2 linked regions of the Xenopus tropicalis genome follow. The protein of the gene in region 1 purifies or fractionates together with the protein of each later gene. This does not show direct contact. Links are inferred from orthologs where the notes say so. Each region holds a gene or a part of one and is shown in the gene's direction. Other genes may lie near its edges.

Region 1 (3,758 bases):
GCATATACTATATATAAAATATAGGCATATAGTATATAGGTACTAATACTAGAGCAACATAACTACAGTAAGTAGGTGTTACTGACCATAAATTAATCAATGCGCCCTGACAGGCAGTATAATTACAAGGAGTATTGTGACCAAGTGAGCGCTTAACAGCTTTTAGAATATAATGAAATGTAAGGCTACAATTTTCTTAGGTTTTATTACTTATCTTTCTATTCATACCCTTTCCTATTCATCTTCTTGTCTCTTAAACAAGTCACCGTCTGATTTCTAGGATAAATTGGACCCTAGCAACCAGATAACTTCTGGAATTCCCAGCTGGAAAGGCAAAAACAAAAAGCAACACAATTCAGGACAAAAAAAAATACAAAAATAAAGCTCAATCGGAAACTGCCGTGGAATGTTACAGTCTTCGGCATGCTAACAGTTAATTTAAAGGCAAACTACCACCTTACGGAGTAAAACCTACAAAAGATGCACAACAATTCCTGCCTATATACAGTAAAGATATAACCGCTACCGAGTGTTTTTTGTTGGCAATAGATAATACTAGCATGGCTGCTTCAATGTTCAGTTGTATTGAAGATGGGGGGTATTGCAGGAGATAATGTTCAAGTCCAGCCGGAAGGCCGCACTTTAACCCTACATTAACCATCATCTAGCAGCAGCGATTTCAGTATTTAGACGCGGGCCCAGTTCCCGCCTGTGGAACTCCCACTCTTCCCGCCGCTTCACCCGCGGACAGGCCATAACTCCGCCCACCCGCTGTGTCAGTTGAGCCAACCAGCTGTCATAATCCCACGGCGCTACAGTTCCAGCGCCAACAAACTCTGCCCTCCTTCCGGCATTTATTATTAACCCCGCCCACTGAAGAGTTACGCACACGCCCCTCTTTATAAGCACGCCTTTTGCCTATTCTCAGAAAGGCCTCATGGTCACGCCTATTTATCGTAGCCTCCCGTATATATGCATCCTATAGGCTGCTTTGTTCTGTCAGTCAGTGAAGCTCCACCCTGCTACTGCGATACTGCCATCCCTTCGCCGTAGTCGTCAGTTCGTATTAGACGTAGTTCCGACCCGCCGTGAGCGTGTTCCGCCCCCAATCTCCCGGCACTTGTTATGGAGCTTGCTGCTTATTAAGTGAAACTGTGACAAGACCATGAATTTTTCCGAAGTGTTTAAGCTTTCAAATCAGCTCTGCAAGTTCTCCCCCAACGGGAAGTATCTGGTGAGTGAGCCAATTGCGGGAGTGCATAGATTTAATCTGCGGCTTTTATTAGAACTCATATGCCCTCTTGGGACAGGGTATTCTGGGAGTTGTAGTTCAGACACAGACTGAAAAACTAAAGGTTCATCTCTTGCAGACCAGGTGTTAATAGGTTGGTAACCATGACTACCAGCATTATACATCCATCATAGGGTCCCTTTGTGGAAGGGAGAAGAAGATATTTAGCAGTATAGCCATTAGTGATGAACAGCATGGGGATGTGAGAATAGTAGTTTAACAACAGCTGGAGGGTTTCAGGTTGGACACCCCAGAATAATATATTCTCCAACACAAATGACCCTTGTCTGTTTATCCTAGAACCCATTTTTCTGTTCATCATAGGGAGTTCTGTGTTATTCTGTAGCCCAAACAAGTGCACCCTGGCTGGGCATTTCCAGGTGTAAGATGTTCAAAGGGGTTATTCACGTTTAATTAATAATACAATAATAACATTGTAGCCTAACAAAGCAATAGTTGCTTACGTGCCACAATCAGTGACCCCCAAGGAGTCCAGGTAATTCCCATAGAAATGAATGGATGAGCATTTTGTGACCTGCTGAGCTGTAAAGCACTCAGGCACTGAAATGCATGAAATCGCCCCAAGCAGGGGGACCTAATGGAGTTTTTCGTGGTCTTGCTAAATTGATGGGTTCTACTGGTCGCTATAAAGATATACAGGTATGGGACCTGTTATCCAGAATGCTCGGGACCTGGGGTTTTCCGGATAAGGGATCTTTCTGTAATTTGGATTTCCATAACTTAAGTCTGCTTTCATTTAAATATTGAATAAACCCAATAGGATTGTTTTGCCCCCCAATAAGGATTAATTATATCTTAGTTTGTGATCAAGTACAAGGTACAGTTTTATTACTACAGAGAAAAAGGAAACCATTCTTAAAAATTAGAATTATTTGCTTATTATTTGCTTATAATGGAATCTATGGGATGTAATTCTGCAGTAGACAGGTATGGGACCTCTTATCCAGAATGTTCAGGACCTGGGTTTTTCCAGATAAGAGGTCCTTCTGCAATTTGGATCACCATACTTTGCTAAAAATAATATAAACATTAAATAAACCCAATAGAATTGTTTTGCTTTAAGTAAGGATTAATTATATATTAGGTGGGATCACGTACAGGGCCAGTTATCCAGAATGCTCTGGACCAAGGGTATTCCGGATTTTCTGTAATTTGGATCTGCATACCTTAAGTCTACTAAAAATTCAATATAACATGAATTAAACCCAATAGGATTGTTTTGCATCCAATAAGGATTAATTATATCTTAGTTGGGATCAAGTACAAGGTACTGTTTTATTATTACAGAGAAAAAGGAAATCATTTTTAAAAATTTGAATTATTTGATTAAAATGGAGTCTATGGAAGACAGGCTTTCCGTAATTTGGAGCTTTCTGGATAACAGGTTTCCAGATAACGGATCCCATACCTGTAGAAGGTACTGTTTTATTACAGAGAAGGGAATAATTTTTTAAAATATGAATAATTTGATTAAAAAGGAATTTATAGGGAATGGCCTTCCCATAAATTCAGAGCTTTCAGGATTTTATGTTTCTGGATAAGGGATCCAATACATGTATAATAAAGCACCATTTGGTGGAATAAAGACACAAGTCTATGGAAAACACACTGTCTGGTCTAATTGATATATCTCTGATTCTTTTTGATGGAAGGACTATTGTAGGGTGAAAGAGCAATAAGTCCATGGATCTATCAGTGTAGTAGTGGTGGTAGGATTATTAAATTCATTTGTTTTGTGTTATTTATTTTAAATAAACCTAAACTAAAATCAGAATGTCTTGCTTATTTTTACCAGGCATCCTGTGTGCAATACAGGCTTGTAATAAGGGATGTGAGCACCCTGCAGATCCTTCAGCTATACACGTGTTTAGATCAGATCCAGTACATAGAATGGTCGTCAGACTCCATGTTCATCCTCTGTGCTATGTATAAAAGAGGACTTGTGCAGGTAAGAGATTATACTGAGAATAAGGAAAGTATTACTAATCACCTTTTGTTATTATTGACAATAATCTGGTAAAACACTGGAAATAGCTTAAGACCAGTATTTGTATGGATATGTATCAGTGAGCATTTATTGTATTCAGTGCTATATAATGTTCCTGTGTACTGTTGGTGTTAATGTAAAGTAGTGCAGTTACCTCGTATTATAGGGTGCAAATAAACACACTGTTTAGCAGCTAGATATGCTTTATTTTCTTTCCTGTACATTGCCTTTTTTAATTTTTCTCTTTGGCTTTGCACCTGAGGCATTTGTGCCCTTGAAGACTTGACTTTTTGTAGTGGTTGGTCACTTCATATTAGTAGGATTGGTGTAAGTACAGAAGCGTATAATAGCTGTATGCACTGTTACCATCAGGGGCATAAAGTAGTCATTAAGTGCAGACAGGTTACATTTACTCTCTTTATGTAATGGGGGGTACATGTACCCCCCACTTCTTTCAGT
Region 2 (3,658 bases), on another chromosome or scaffold:
CCTGTGTCTACTTTAGAAGGATGTTTTCTGTGGACACCTAAGCTGTTAACAGTTGAAATACCACCAGAAAAAAATGAATGATAACACATGTTTTTCTCTAAATAGGAGCTTAGAACCTTAGGCTTTCCAACAGTGCAAGTTGTATCCAAGAATGGAGAAGGAAGAAAATTGCATTTGGTGTCTATCATCAACTGTATTCATGAGCTACTTCAAAGAAATTCCCAAAATATGCGAGGCAAAGAAGAAGTAGAAACACAGATTCTGAAAATAAATGGTGACCTGGAGCATCTACAGAGTATTCATCAGAGGCAGAAGGTGAGATTGCTGCCAGAGAAATGTGACAGCCCCTGATAAAAGAAAGGAGGGTACAGATGGTGAGGGGGGTTAACCCTTCATATCTTTGAAATAACTCAGGGCAGCAGAGAAGGGTCCCTGGGAGGCCTCTTAAGCAACTTTCTTGCAGTGCTTAAATGATTCCTAAAGTTGTCCATGTTGGTAGCCTTTTATTTTTTAAGATTCAAGAGTCTACAGGGTTTCTGATACATATTTGTAAGATTGTAGATATTAGATTGGAAACTTTTTGGCAGTGCCCTCTGTCTTTTGTATCGGTTGTAGTTGTGGGTGTTTTGTTTTTTTTTTAATACCCATTTATTGTATGGCACTGTGGAATGTTTATAAATATGTGTTAAAGGGGACGATTACCTTGGTTTTACACTTGGCCTAATATTCATGCTAGTATAGCTTAGCATACCTTTTTAGATCTAGTTTTCCTTTTAGTTTAAGCACTGCCCCTCTCCTTCACTTCCTCTCCTGGAACGTCTCGGAGTCAGAGGAGCCACCGGCTTATTGTCATAACCTGGTAATGTCAGTGAATGACAGGCAGAACTCTCTGTGCCTGGCCTGATTAAACTGTCACACACTTTTCATTCAGGTCAGTCATGTCTAGGCAATAGTACAGACTTTTTTTTTTTGTAACAACTGTGGGGCCACTGCTCACATTTAGGAATATGTAATTATTTAATAGTATGTATCAGACGGCGGGCTTCCTGCTATCTCCGAATAACTACTTCCAGTTAAGTGTACAGGCAATTCTGATGTATGCTATTGGATAATGTGAAGAAAGTATGTTCCTCCATGTGACCAGTGTGCCCTCCATCTGTCACAGAGCTATAACTGCTTCTATCAAAGCTGTACTTGTGGAACTAGGGGGCTCTCCAGCTGTCGCAGATGATCAGGAGATGTCCCTCTAGCTGTGAATTAAATCACAATTTGCCCAATCTAAGATTTAAAGGAGTTGCAGCTAGAAGCAGGTGGGCCACACCATAGTTGCTTTATTTACTGTTCTACACAGTAGATGATGTACAAATAAACACTGGGTATGAGATCTTATATCTGATATTGGGGATACAGTAGAACTTTACAGTTTGGAGGAGAGTTGCAGTTCCACTAATCGTTTCATAGGGTAGGAAAAAGAGAGAAAGGGTAGGGACCTTTTTCTGGGGAAAAATGATAATGCTAAAATAAGAGCTGAGTTTGTCCTAATGCTGAGCTTTGAAAATCTTTATAGCTATGATATAAAAGGTAAAACATTTTTGTAAAACCATTTTTGTCACCATACATTCAGAAATAGGGGGAAATACTAGCAGATGAGACTGACACAAAAACCTGTAAAACCTTTAAAGCAGTCTTGTTTGTTTTTTTCTTTTTTTTTTTTTTTTGTCATGTTACCTTTATAACACCTTCAGTTTTAATGATAAGAAGCCAAGCCAACTGTAGGCTAGTAGTATTTTTTTTTTTATTTTGAAATGTTATGTTTATTGGTTGTTTTTATAACCGTTTTGTTTACATACAAACAATGTAAGGGGGAAGATGGAAAGAGTTTGAAAAATCCTGTGTTAGAGGGTAGATTGGGGAGAAGAGGAGGGGGTGCACTCTTGCCTAGTTTTTATAACAGATATAAGCTGTATCTTGAATATGGTCTGTGGGTCTATCTAATATAGGCATAATTGTCCTCTGATTCATTTGTGCATTTATTAAGCGGTGTGGGATAGTCTCTGGGTATGCTGGCTTTCAGTCCATAGGGTCCATGGAGACCAAACCTCCTCGTATTTATCCATTTTGTGGTGAATAAGTGCTTAGTAGACTTTGATTTTAATGTACACAAATAACTAGCATCATCTGCAAAGCATAAAACTGTTATGTCAAACAAAAGATATTAAAACAGTACAGATTTCAGTTTTTTTGTTGAAAGTAAATAGAAAATACTAGTTGGAACTATAGTCTAAATATTACATAAGCATTTTAAATATAGTTTTTTTTTTTGTTTTTTTTTTTTAAATTTTCAACAGGACCAGCTGGAAGCCACAAGGCGAGAAAACTGTGCTCACCAGGAGAGGGATCGTCAGATGCAGTGCAAAAATCGTAACCTTCTCCAGCTGCTTAAGAATGAAAAGGAGGAGGTAGCTGTCTCGATAGGTTTATGGTTTTGCTATGCTATGAAACTGGAAGCACAGAACACTTGCAGTGTACACATACAAGGTAGAAGAATAGAACAAACTTAGAGGTATAATAAAAAAAAAATGGTTAAACTATTCCCACTTTCTCATCTCTTCAATTCTGTATGCCCACCCTAACCCCTTTCAGTCTTCATGAGCAATATTAATCATGAATATACAGCATATTTGCAAACATTTAAAATATACAGATAACCTATGCATACCCTAAAGTTAGAAAAATATGTTCCCCTTTTGACAAACTAGTTCAGTTGGGCTTATGTGGGAGGGAAGATGGTCTGCAAGCAAGTTATCATGGTTCTCTTTCATCTGTGCTGTTGTCAGTCAGTTAGCTAAGTTCAGGGACCAACTCACGATATACTGTGTATATAAAATACAAATGTCACAAGGTGGCAAGGTAATTCAGATTCACATTTAAAAAAGCATTTTAGAAATCAGCCCTGTACTATCAGCTTATAAGAGAAGTGAACCCCGTTTCTTCTGTGATTTGCAATAACCCGCTAAGCTTCTTAATAGCAAACATATTTGTGTGTTAAAGATGGGCTGGTGCAATAAGTTCAGTATTTAAAATACAGCATTTCTAGCCATTTTTAGGGTTTAGTTCTCCTATAAGTATAAAATTCTAAAACGGCAACATAACAAGTTTGATAATAAACCACAGAGAACAAGTGTTAAAAACAAACTGTGGTTTAGTTCTTGTTCAGTCTTATTAATTTACCCATCTGTTTTTTCACCTGGGTCCAGGTTTTTGGGAAGACCACAAAGGCCTGATATGAGACTAGGGAGGCACATTTTTCGTGGTGGCATGCCTCCCAGCTGCATATGTATTTCTTTCTAGAACTGTTTCTAAGGGCATCCAGCATTTAATCTGATTATTACGTGTAACATAAAATGACTAGTCCTTCATAATAATTTCATTAAATACAATAAAAACAAAAACTTTCTGTGGAAAAAAACCCCATCTTAAACAGGTTTTAAACTATTTCATCTATGACAGACAAGGAGATTAGGCACTCCATGCATATTGTGCTCTAGCGGTGGTGACTAATCTCCTCGAATGCTTTACTACCGGGAAGAATGTAAATCAGTGGTAGGTAAACATAGCCAAAGTAGCCTGAAGTTTCTTTGTGAGGCAGCTTCAGCCG

What was found.
Region 2: the proteins of wrap73 (region 1) and ssx2ip purify together in Homo sapiens (co-immunoprecipitation; 4 studies listed by BioGRID and IntAct, counting the BioPlex papers as one, with this or other methods). This does not show direct contact. The link is inferred for Xenopus tropicalis from reciprocal best matches to the Homo sapiens genes WRAP73 and SSX2IP.

The regions. Positions count from the first base shown.
Region 1 is NC_030683.2:101,399,782-101,403,539, forward strand, and holds the start of wrap73 (WD repeat-containing protein WRAP73), read left to right. Parts: upstream 1-980; 5' UTR 981-1,165; coding exon 1,166-1,234; intron 1,235-3,107; coding exon 3,108-3,260; intron 3,261-3,758.
Region 2 is NC_030680.2:77,501,078-77,504,735, forward strand, and holds part of ssx2ip (afadin- and alpha-actinin-binding protein), read left to right. Parts: intron 1-105; coding exon 106-315; intron 316-2,348; coding exon 2,349-2,459; intron 2,460-3,658. UniProt on the Homo sapiens protein: Belongs to an adhesion system, which plays a role in the organization of homotypic, interneuronal and heterotypic cell-cell adherens junctions (AJs).